Linked DNA regions of Ovis aries. The protein of the gene in region 1 purifies or fractionates together with the protein of each later gene. This does not show direct contact. Links are inferred from orthologs where the notes say so. Each region holds a gene or a part of one and is shown in the gene's direction. Other genes may lie near its edges.

What was found. The genes of interacting proteins can lie anywhere in the genome.
Region 2: the proteins of CCT8 (region 1) and TLE2 purify together in Homo sapiens (affinity purification with mass spectrometry; 3 studies listed by BioGRID and IntAct, with this or other methods). This does not show direct contact. The link is inferred for Ovis aries from reciprocal best matches to the Homo sapiens genes CCT8 and TLE2.
Region 3: the proteins of CCT8 (region 1) and PDCL3 purify together in Homo sapiens (affinity purification with mass spectrometry; 3 studies listed by BioGRID and IntAct, with this or other methods). This does not show direct contact. The link is inferred for Ovis aries from reciprocal best matches to the Homo sapiens genes CCT8 and PDCL3.

What each region holds. Positions count from the first base shown.
Region 1 is NC_056054.1:127,698,958-127,703,037, forward strand, and holds the start of CCT8 (T-complex protein 1 subunit theta), read left to right. Parts: upstream 1-1,280; 5' UTR 1,281-1,339; coding exon 1,340-1,399; intron 1,400-3,325; coding exon 3,326-3,416; intron 3,417-4,080. UniProt on the Homo sapiens protein: Component of the chaperonin-containing T-complex (TRiC), a molecular chaperone complex that assists the folding of actin, tubulin and other proteins upon ATP hydrolysis.
Region 2 is NC_056058.1:18,546,743-18,550,778, forward strand, and holds the start of TLE2 (transducin-like enhancer protein 2), read left to right. Parts: upstream 1-1,236; 5' UTR 1,237-1,559; coding exon 1,560-1,583; intron 1,584-1,661; coding exon 1,662-1,759; intron 1,760-2,090; coding exon 2,091-2,154; intron 2,155-2,624; coding exon 2,625-2,669; intron 2,670-4,036.
Region 3 is NC_056056.1:100,879,936-100,883,993, reverse strand, and holds the start of PDCL3 (phosducin-like protein 3), read left to right. Parts: upstream 1-1,258; 5' UTR 1,259-1,324; coding exon 1,325-1,330; intron 1,331-4,058. UniProt on the Homo sapiens protein: Acts as a chaperone for the angiogenic VEGF receptor KDR/VEGFR2, increasing its abundance by inhibiting its ubiquitination and degradation.

The sequences.
Region 1 (4,080 bases):
CCTTTGAGGATCGCTGAATGTTTCCCAAAAGGTGGTTCACATACCAGTTGGTTAGAGATGCCTCGCAAAAATATTTTTTCATAATTATGCACTTAAGTGCTAATTAGAAAAAGTTATAGTACATGTAACACATTTGATTATTCCTTAAGACACACTAAATCTGTCCCGATTTAAGGAAAATAAATCATTTGCAAGTGTCTGACCAAGGAACAAAAGACAAGCCAAACGTTCTATTCAGTTGTCTATATTTTCTACTAGGAGAGTGGATTACTTTCACTGTGTGAAATTATTCTTTGAAGTATTCTGCCATTATTCAGTCTTTTGAAATCAGTCATGTGCTGATGTGGGATGACACAGAGGTCAGGTTTTAAAGGACTGTGGGAAAGTAAAAGGGGTTTATATTTCCAAGAAAAAGCAGGAAAGGGATTTTCCAGGTGTTCCAGTGGTTAAGACATCATGCTTCCACTGCAGGGGGGCGGGGTTCCACTCCTGGCGGGGGAAATAAGATCTCACATGCTTGTGGGGCGGCCAAAAAACAGAAGAAAAAAGAAAAGGAGGAAAGAGGAATACAGTTGCCTAACAACGTGCATTTTGCAATCTAATCTGGGTAGAAATCCTAGTTTTAACACTACTAGCGCTGTGATCTTGTACAAACTAAATTGTAAATTGCAAAGTAATTAATAAAAGATTGACCACTAGCTAAGATACCGCACATAAAGCAAATAACGGGGCCTGGCACATATGAGCACTCAGTACGTAGTTTTCCTTTCAGATTTTCATTTATCACCTTCAAGTCCCCAGAGCTGCTACAGGGCCCAAGTCTGAGCGCAAGTTCAACCACAGATTTGGAGGATGAAGGCAGATCCTCGGCCTCGGGAAAAAAGGGGTGCCCACCTGGCTGATATCGTGGGAAGCTCTGGAAGATTTACACGGAAGCTACTCTTGGAAGGAGTTGCAAAACTCAAGGACAAAACTGACAACATTCAAAAGTCCCCAGCACAGAGCCTATGAGTCTAAGCGAAGGGAACGACCTCCGGGAGCGAGCCACATCCGCCAGGCAGCCTACGCGTGCGTCGGCAGGAAGACAGAAGGCCCAGCCCGATCGAGCCACCCCATCGATCGACCAGCTCGAGAATCGTCAACTCAGTTCTGGCGGCGCTAACTGCTCCTTCTCGCGAGGCTTCACAGACTAGGCCGCCGGGGGAAAGGGCGGGACCGGCTGAAGAGAAAGGAGGGGCGTGAGCCGGCCGCACGCTACGTTCCCAGGAAGCTGTGCGCGCCTCTCGTTTCTTCCAGGATCTCCTGAGAGGGCGCGTGAACGGCACCCTGCAGACTGGTCATGGCCCTCCACGTCCCCAAGGCCCCGGGCTTTGCCCAGATGCTCAAGGAGGGAGCGAAGGTAAGAAAAGGAGGAAGAGGGAGTGAGGTGGGAGAGCCGCGGCGGCCGCAGTCAAGAAGAAAAGCCTACCAACGGGCCCGGCGTGCCCACCCGACATAGCGGTCGGAGGGAAAGAAGATTCCAGAAACGGAGGTGTTCTCTGGAGAGCTTGGCCGCGGAGGGCCCCGGGCATTTCGAGTTTTTTTTTTTAAATGAACCCGGGAGAGGGGGGCAAGCGGCCAGAAACGGCGAGTGGACGACGAGGCCGCAGGCGGCGCGTTTTTTGCTTTGTAGCCTTACAGGGTGTGAAGGCCGCTCTTTGCATTTTTCCTCCGTCAGTAAAACGGGAGTGAGGAGGCTCTCCTTTGAGGGGCGCGAAGTAGGTGAAATAACGTAGGTGAGGTTGCTTTGAGTACTGCGAAACGGTTCCAGGAGCGGGTGGTCCAGGGAGGAGAGGGACGAGGCAACTCTTGCAAATGAGAAACGGCGAGCTCCCCATTTAGTTAGCAGAAATAGTGCATTATAGGATAAATCTTAGTTACAATCCCAATGGGCTCTGTTCTGAACTTAGCCAGCTTGAGGTAAAACTTAATCCTCTGGGTCTTACTTTCCTCATCTTTCAGTTGGGGAGATTGGACGGAAATAGTTGTAACCAACAGAGTAAGTGACACCCTGAGCTAAGTAAAGCTTTTGTTTTATGGCGAGATCTTGAAAGTAATTTCAACAGCATGGTTTTTTGTTTGTTTTTTTAATGTCTTAGACACACTGCTGTAAGTGTGTCTCTTAGGTTCAAATAGTTGCGTTCCCTTATTGTCACCCAGACTTGCTGTGCTTAAACGAATGTAGATACTGTGGTTCCATTTGTGGTAACAGTTTGAGGGAACTAGGTTTCTTGTTGGCGAGGATGCACTTTGGGGATAACGTGACTCTAGTAGGTAAGGAGGTTTACTGTAAGTATTGGTGAAAGAGCTTTGCTGAAAATGACATGAACTAATTTTTTTTTAAAAGGGAAGTGGCCGTATTTTTTTTATTCTGAGGCAGAAATAAGTGACCAAATAAGCAGAAGGATAATTTCAAATAATGATAAAGGAAATTGAAAGTGCGCCTCTAAAAAAAAATTATAAAGGAAAGTTTGGGGTAGAACAGTAAATAAAATGTTAAGGAAAGAACTCAGCTCTGTGCTTAGTGGCCAAGATTAAAGGCAGAAATGTTTCAGGCTAAGGGACCAAACTCACTGAGGATGAAGTGAGTTTGACTTGTTAAAACAGTAAGAAAAAAGATGTTCACATGAACAGTAGGCTCTTGAAATTTATCTGAGACTCACAAGTAAATCCCATGTCTAAAAGAAGTTCATTGTAAAACTTGAAAATTTGAGTACTGTGAGCAGTTCAGTTTTCAGTGTATACACGTTGGAATTAATGTGTACAAACGAACAGTTTGTTTCAGTTCAAATGAGAATTCAAAATCTGTATGCTTTAGTTCTAAAAATGTATAAGGCAAATATGTTAATTCCCTTTGAACATAGACCTGTTGACTCTACAGTGCTCAGGTTTTATCACATTCATACCACATTTCGGCTTTTAGAAAGAATTGGTAGACTCTGGAAAGGTATTTTTATAATCTGCAATGGTTCATATGCTTTCTCTAATCAGGCTTAGCACTCTTCTCTGCACTTTTCACTAAACTAAAAAAAATTAAGCTTTATGTTTTGATGTGTAAGTAGGTACTCATGGTCCCTAAAAATGTCATGCCTTATTCATTCAACTTGTGGACAAATCTGTGAATTAGGATGGTATCTGGTATCATAGGAACACCAAACACCATGCTTTACATACATAAATCTCATTTGATAATGTCAACAGTCTTTTGAGACAGGTACTATTATTTTACAGATGAAGAAATTATTGAGATTCATTGTCCTGCCTAATCAGAAATTTTCTTCTACAGCATTTTTCAGGATTAGAAGAGGCTGTGTACAGGAACATACAGGCTTGCAAAGAGCTGGCCCAAACAACTCGTACAGCATATGGACCAAATGGTAATTTCTAAATTCATGTTTAAAAAAAAATACAGTACTATAATATAATTTTGTGTAGTAGTTCTTTGAAACTTGTTTGAGGATATTATATGTAAATTGAGAATTTTAGCCATAATACACTGTAGTGTTGAAAATCATTTCACAGTTCAGTAACTCCTGTACAGTTTTCCTAATCTTTAATCAGCAGTTTGGATCTTTTTAGAAAAGTTGTAATCAAAATGTTACTTTTTGTCCTATTGAGAGGATAGAAAAGTTATGGTGCTTTCACCTTTGAGGTAGTACCATTGTTACAGCTGTGGAATAGTTCTCTTAAGTAAAATGACATAATTTAAGGGAGAAAAATTCTCTCTTGCTTCCCATCAACTGAATTAATTGATACAAATTTATGGAATAAGCAAAACACACTTTCAAGTAAATAATTTTAGTCTTTGTACATGTCAATATAATTTAAGTTGATTGAAAAAATATGAAATTGGCAGGAAAGAAATAATAGGTGTGCAGGCAGGGGAAGCCATTGAGCTGTGGCTTTAAGAATAGGTAGTATGTTTTGAGTTCTTACAAAGTTATTTCAAGGAATGGATAGCAAATTTTTGTTTCTTCACTGGATTTTCTTTGGTGTCTGGAGAGGGGTTTGAGTGATGATGCATTTCTTTTTCTGACTATT
Region 2 (4,036 bases), on another chromosome or scaffold:
ACAACACACACATGTATCTTTATCCTTTATCTTTAGAATCTTCCTTCCTCCTTCCCATGACTCCCCATCTTTAGCCTTCATGCGTCAACCTCCTCCAAGAGGTTTCTCTCAGACACCCCAAATAAGTAGATTCCCTCTAATCTCCATAATTGCCCCCCTAAAGCCTCTTTGTACACACACACACTTTCATGATTTTCTAGCTACAATCTTGTTTTATCCACTGATCTCAGAGAAGGCAAGAAATCTGTTCTCCATCCATCCTGTATTCCGTCTGCCTAGAAGGAGGCCTGGTATGTCATAGGTGCTCAATAAATTCAACAGGGCTTTTGTATGCTTCTGCTTGCTCATCTACAGACACGGGTGCAGATATTAACACAAGGCCAGGGGTTTTCTCTGTTTGGTTCCCTGTTGAACTCCTGGGCCTGGAGCAGTGTCTGGTCCACACTAGGCTCTCCACACGTTTGTTGATTGACTTAACAAACGACCCTGAAGTTTCTCATGAGCAAAATGGGAATAAGAATGTCCTACCTCCCACCTCACTGGATATGTGCAGTCTGCAATGGGAGATGGAGTCCCACCTTGAGAGAGATCTCAGTCTGATGGCAGAAATCCGTATTTGTCGTCAGTGGGACCTCTGTTTTCTAGGAGCTCATGGTCTGAGAGCGGAGACAGCCAGGTCCACTGGTGTGGCCATGGGAACCCAACTCCCATCTCTGGAAGTTTACTCCGTTCCAGAGCAGGCTAAGGGCTGTTCCTGTGTGTGTAGTCGGAAAATAACCCCTGCTTTGACCATTTTACAGGTGGGAATACCGAATACCGAGGCCCAGTGAGGGTGGAGGGGCCTGGCTCTGCCCGCAAGCTCAACCCTTCTCTGATGATTTTGCAGGTTAGACTCTGTCCCTGCAGGCAGGTTCTCCAGCCAGCGCTTGGCAGGCTGTTTTCCCCATCCTTAAGTCTAAGCCCATTTCCTCAGAAAGACCATTTCAGGCCCCCTCCTGTCTTCCCCGCCCCAAGCTACCCTCACAGTGGGTCACTAGGTGTTTAACTGGTTTTTCTCTCTTGGGTCCTCGGGAGAGTGGGGAGTGGCGACGTTTGCGGGGCTGGACGGTAGCCTCAGTTTCCCTACTGGTCCCGGGTGGAAGGGAGGGGGTGGTCCCGGGGCCGCAGCGCGAGGGGCAGGCGGGCCGGGTGGGCGGGCCGGGGGCGGCGGCGCCACCTTAAGGCGGCTCTGCCCGCGGCTCCCGGCCGAGCCCCGCCGGAGGGAGGCGGCTCCGCGCGGGGCCCGCCGCCCGCGCCTCCGAAACCGGCCGCCGCTCGCCCGACCTTCTGCGCCGGTCGCGCGCCCCACGCCCGGCGGGGGCCTCGGCGCCCCTTGGTCCCCGCGACACCGCGCGCTCACTCGGGGGGCGGGGGAACTCCAGGGTCCCCTGCCCCACGCCGCTGCCCCTTCTTTCTCGGGCAGACCCCCCACCCCAGCCTCTCCCCCACCCCGCCTTCTCCTGGCCCCCCCAGATCGTCAAGCTCCGGAGTCGTGGCGGAGGGCCTCCCGGATCGGCAGGATGTACCCCCAGGGAAGGCACCCGGTGAGTGGGGGCCCAGGCTGCGGGGAGGTTGGGGGCGCCGGGCGTCCTGGAACTCAGACCTGGGCGTCCCCCCTCAAGACCCCGCTTCAGTCCGGCCAGCCCTTCAAGTTCTCGATCTTGGAGATCTGCGACCGCATCAAAGAAGAATTCCAGTTTCTTCAGGCTCAGTACCACAGGTAAGGGGTTGGGGACCGGGGCGCCCCTCCCCAGAGGCTCGCCTGGGGCAGAGGGGCGGGGTCACCAGCGTGCTGGGAGGACGGAGGGACCCCAGGGCGGAGAGGAGGGCTTCCAGGTAGAAGCGAAGGTGAGGAGGACAGCCTGTCCAGTGCTGGGACACTTGGAGCCTGGGAAAGGATGGGGCCGGCCTGGGAGCGGGAGTTGGGGGTGGGTGTGTGGAGGTGGGGAGAGCCAATCTCATCACTGTGGAAGCTGGCCCAGAAGGGGTCCGTGGGTGTCTCTGCTGGGGGGCAAGGAGGATGGAATCCCAATGTTCCGTCCCCTTCCCAGCCTCAAGCTGGAGTGTGAGAAGTTGGCCAGTGAGAAGACAGAAATGCAGCGACATTATGTCATGGTGAGGGGGTTGTCATACTGGGTGGGAGGCAGTGGGGAAGATGGCTTGTCTGTGAGTTGAAACATGATGGGCATGAACCCCAACTCCAGTACTGCTCTAGGACATGTCCCCAGCCGGCTGTGGGCCTCAGTTTCCCTCATCTGTAAAATAGGCTGCTTGGGGTTCCAGGCTGTCTGCCAGCTCTTGGAACAATAAATCAAGGATACCTCCTCTCCTCCTGGGCATCTCTGAGGGGCTGAGGTGACCCCACCCCCCTGGAGAGAATGGAGGGAGGAGAGTCTTGCTTTCTCCTCTGGGCTCCCTTTCTGGGCTCCCTTTCTGGGCCCCCTTTCTGGGCCCCCAAGGATCTGGGAGGCTCTGGGTCCTGCTGTGATCCCCTGAGTCTGGGGGCTGTTGGAAGACCCAGTCACCCAGTGCAGCTGGACATCCGTGGCTATGATGGACACTGCCAGACGGCCTTTCCTTTGCAGTACTATGAAATGTCCTACGGGCTCAACATCGAAATGCATAAGCAGGTAACTGTGTTGAGGGTAAGGGTGTCCAGTGGGAGGAGGGGGATCTGGAAGCTGTGAGAGGGACCCAGATCTCCAGCAGTCACAGGCCCAGGGAGCAGACATCTTATCCTGAAATCTCTGGGACTAGGGGCCAGATTTCAGCCTTGAAAATGAATTTCTGGAGATTTTGTCCAGGAGAGATGTGGGCAGCAGATAAGGGCCAGCTTCCTTGTAGTAGAGGCCAACAGCCAGGTCACGGAGCCTGGGGAGGGACTTCTGTCCTAAGAAGGGGACAAACAGATAGTCTTAGAGGTCCCTTTCAGCCCAATGTGTCTGACATCCGGAGATGGATCCTTAGGGTCTGAGATGGAACCCCTAGGTTCTGATGCCGTTTTGAAGGTTCTAAGATTAATGCTAATGATCCAAGGTTCTGAGACTGTCTTCTATGTCTGAGAGTGATCTCAGGGTTCTGAGTCATACCTGAAGGTTCTGAAATTGGCTCCATGTGCCCGAGATTAACCCCCAGATCCTGAGACTGACCTTAAGATTTTCTGATGGTTTCTAAAGGGGAGGTGAGAATTTTATCACAGAACCACCCATGCACCCAGATGTTTTCTAAGAGGACAAGAGGGACCTGGAGATTCTAAGGTTGATGGAATCTTGGGTTCTGTCCATCAGAATATTAGAATTAATCGGCAAAGCCTAGGGTCTTTCTGGTGGGTGGGAAGAAGTGAGGGTGAGCTGGGAGTGCCTTGAGGGAGCCTGCCTTGGCATGCTTTTCTGGGTCTCTGTGGGTTCTCCTGGGTCTGGTGTGGGTAGGAGGGGGCTTGTTTGCCTGCAGCATGGTGTGGTCCTATGGGTGCATGAAATAGACCTCTTTATGGGGTGGAGGGCAAGGTGTAGGGTCCCAACTCTGGGAGCCTGGTTCCACCCTCCTGGTAAGAGATGGAAGACACAGCCTCACCCAGGTGCATCCAGCAGCTCTGTAACTCAGGCAGGGGCAAAGCACAGACTGACAGAAAACCCCCTTCCCCACCCACTCACATGTTTCCCCTCTGTTCAGCCTCTATGGGGCACTCCCTGCCCAGCCCCAGTCCCAGATGAAACCTACAAGTAAAACCACACTATTTCTAACCCACTCTCTGACACGAAATGTGTGTGTTTTCGCTACACAGAACAGTTCTGGAAATCTGACACCAGCTGCGTGTCCCTATGCTTCAGTTCAACCCTAACGCACCTACCTGGTGCAAACCCCAGTGGTTCAGGGTTAGGATTAGGGCCCCACAGGACTGCCCCTGCCTCCTGGGTTTCTGACCCGCCAGCTATAAATCAGAGTTCCCATAACCCACTCCCTGGTCTGATGTTTTGCCAGAATGGCTCACAGAACT
Region 3 (4,058 bases), on another chromosome or scaffold:
AGGGGTCAGGAAGATCCCCTGGAGAAGAAAATGGCAGATAGTGAAGCAGTATTCTTGCCTGAGAAATCCCATGGACAGAGGATCCTGGTAGGCTCCAGTCCATGGCGTTGCAAAAGAGTCAGACACAGCTTAGTGACTAAAATGTCATGTCATGTATAAAACAGATAACAAATAAGGACCTAATATACAGCACGGGGACCTCTACTAATACTCTGTAGTGGCTCATATGGGAAAATAATCTATAAACAGTGAATATATGTGTAACTGATTCACTTTGCTTTATAGCAGAAAGCAAACAACATTATAAATGAACTATACTCCAATAAAAATTTTAAAAAGAAAACATCAGTTCCAGGTCCCATGGCTAGAAATGTAATGTGGGGATGGGACCGCAGGGTAGCGGCAGTTTTAGAAGGCTCACAGATAGTGAAGGACAGGGAAGCCTGGCCTGCTACAGTCCATGGGGTTGCAAAGAGCGGGACAAGACTGAGCGAACCACAGGTGCTTCTAATGTAGCCGAAGTTGAACCGCCTACTCTACATACGTGTTGGCTGCGTTCTCTGTGTCTGCTACTTCACCACCGAGCTCAGGTGTCCAGGGAGGGGCATTGCTTTAACTCAAATTCGGAGTGCTGCATACACAGAAGCCTGAAGGGCTGTATTTTTCAGAAGCCCCTGTATTTTTCAATTTAGACTTGCATATTTCTACTCAGTGCCTCCCTTGCGCTCCGCAAAGGGCTAAGTCCTCTTGCGAATAGGAAACGCCTGAGGCTCAACCAGGTGAAGAGATGTCCACGTTTCTGGTTTCGTTTGTTGCGATTCCCGCCGCGTCCGCAGAGCCTAGAATAGTGTTTAGTACGTAGTAGGCGAACTGCTTTATGTCCTTCAAGGACAGTGACTGAATTCCAGGTAATCCTGCCTCCTTTTGAATCTTAACAACGAATCAGTGAAACGGGTTTCTATCTCTGACTTCTTGGGCCGAGACCTCCGAAACCATCGGATCCGTGCCTGGAGATGACACCTAGCTGCCGGGGACCTCCCCGATTCTGTCCCACCATTCGGCGGCCGAAGATGTGCCCTAATAAGGTTCAGTTGAGCAGCGGCCGGGATTAGCTCGGAGTCACGCGAGTGGGCGTGTCCAGCCTCTTGCCCCGGCGCAGCCTCAGAGGAGAACTCGCCTCCCCTGGCCCCGCCCTATCCTCTCCCGGAGGGCGGGGCGAAGGGCAGGCTGGGAGAGGAGGCGAGTGGCGCCTGCGCGCGTGCGCGGTAGAGAGCTCACGGGCCGGGTGGCTGTGGCCGGCAGGGCCCCAGCGATTTGACAGAAAATGCAGGTGAGCAAGCCGGGGGTGGGGTGGGGAGCTCGACGCCTGGAGGCTGCGGCCGCTCGTTTTGCCCCGCTCGGTCCATGCGGGCGGCTGCCTGTCCTTGCCGGGCCTGTGGGAAGTGCCGGGCGCCTCAGGCTCGGGGTGGCCACGCGAGTCGAGGCCGGCGCAGGCGCAGTGCGGACGGGCGGGCGTGGTCTCGCATGTCCGCGGGCTGGGCGTGCACGCTCCCCTCCGTGTGTCCCACCCCCGAATCTCATCTTTGAGGGTAGTTCTCCGGGAGGTCGGCTGCCCTGGGCCTGTGAAGGCCTCTGCGGATCTTACCTGACAGTTACTTCCTCCTTGTTAACTCTCTTAGCGAGCACCTGAACAGGTGCGTTATGAACCCCCTTCACGGATGCGGAAGCTGAGGCTCGGATAATTGGAGGGTCCTCCCCTGAGGGGGTCGCATAACATAACCCGTGTTCTTGACCCTGCCTAGAGCTGAGTGAGGGGTTACAACATCCTTCCCTCTCTGCCTCCCAATGTTGGTGTACAGGTTGAGGTGCGTCCCCTGTGGACCCTAGAGTCCAGCCTGAGGGTCCCGCTGCCCAGTTATTAATACTTTCCCTTTAAAAATGGATAAAACCAAATCCCTCAATTTTGTTCGTTTATTGTATCAGGAATTTATTAATGCAATTTGACTAAAAACCCATGGTTCAGTTCAGTCCAGTCGCTCAGTCGTGTCCGACTCTTTGCAACCCCATGAACCACAGTACGCCAGGCCTCCCTGTCCATCACCAACTCCCGGAATCCACCCAAACCCATGTCCACTGAGTCGATGATGCCATCCAACCATATCATCCTCTGTCGTCCCCTTCTCTTCCTGCCCTCAATCTTTCCCAACATCAGAGTCTTTTCAAATGAGTCAGCTCTTCTCATCAGGTGGCCAAAGTATTGGAGTTTCAGCTTCAATATCAGTCCTTCCAATGAATATTCAGGACTGATTTCCTTTAGGATGGACTGGTTGGATCTCCTTGAAGTCCAAGGGACTGTTAAGAATCTTCTCCAACAACACAGTTGAAAAGCATCAGTTCTTAAGCACTCAACTTTCTTTATAGTCCAACTCTCACATCCATACATGACCATAACCTTGGAAGAACCATAACCTTGACTAGACGGACCTTTGTTGGCAAAGTAATGTCTCTGCTTTTGAATATGCTATCTAGGTTGGTCATAACTTTCCTTCCAAGGAGTACGCGTCTTTTAGTTTCATGGCTGCAATCACCATCTGCAGTGATGGAAAAGTGAAGAAAAAAAGACACCGTGGAAATGGATGCTTTTATGAGAAAATCTCTGATGATTCAGTTTTGTCACTGTTAAAGGACCCTCCTCCAAAGGTCATTCTCCTGCCTCCTAGATCCTCCTGTGGTTCGGAATTTTGATGAACTCATCTCTGACTCAGTGGCAGAAGGGAAGTGGAGTTAGTGTGGGTTTGATTGGGGCTGGAGAGGTTTGTTGGTGTTCAGTCTCTCAGTCATGTTGGACTCTTTGCGACCCCATGGACTGCAGCAGGCCAGGCTCCCCAGTCCTTCACCATCTCCCGGAGGTTGCTCAAACTCATGTCTGTTGAGCCGCTGCCATCCAACCATCTCATGCTCTATTGTCCCCTTCTCCTGCCCTCAGTCTTTCCTAGCATCAGGGTCTTTTCCATTGAGTCAGCTCTTTGCATCAGGTGGCCAAAGGATTGAAGCTTTAGCTTCATCATCAGTCCTTCCAATCCTCCCCATCAGGGCTGGAGAGGATGATCGTCTCCAAATACAGCGTATCTGATGAAGAGGAAACTCAGAGCTGCCCTGGCCTCTGTGTTCTCTGTCCTTTTTGCCCCTGCTCAAAAATGTCATATCTTAAGAGGGCTTCCTGACCACCCTGTGGAAGGGATTCTGTTTGTTTCTGTTTGACATATTTCAGCAGGACTGCCCAGGGAACTGAGGGTAGACCCTGGTTATCCCAGTGCTCTTCGCACAGCTTCCTGGTTTCATATTCCAGACCTGCCAAGACATGCCAAACCAGGGTTTGGGCAGCTGTGTTGTGGAGCTAGGAGCCCACCTTGGCATTTCTTTTTCTGATAGTTGATCCTGGTAAGTTTGACTTGTTCCAGCCTGGCAGTGTCTTCCTTAACGCCATGGCTCTCCCAAGTTTGTGAGGATTAACTAGGTAGGTACAGGCAAAGAAGTTTGTGGTGTCCCCGGCATGTAGGACTCAGTAAGCATCAGCTATTGTGAACTTCTCCATGGCATCTCAGCTCTTCCTCTTAGCCTTGGCCTTTAGGGAATCAGTCAGGCTCTCTTCCTTCTGATTTTCTTGCAGCCACTCAGGACTTTGGAATACTCTATATCTTGTACTCGGGCCCTTGGCACAGGCTGGTCCTTCTGCCTGGAAAGTCATTTCCTAAATTTTCGCTCCTCTGTCTGGCTCCTTCTCACCCTCCAGTCACAGTTAAATGTCACCTCTCCTGAGAGAACGTCCTGGCCCATCTTGTGGACTGCACGCCCCCTGGAAGTCCAGCTCAGCAGCCTGGCCATTGCATTTGTCATGCTATCTCTTTGTGTATTTAGTTACTCATTGCCTATTTCTTTCTCTTACCTGTAAAACTGGTGACTTTGGCATTCACCATGCTTCCCTACTATCTAGTACAACCATTTACATATAGTAGGTACTTAATAAATATCTGTTGAACAGATCACTCCGAGTCATT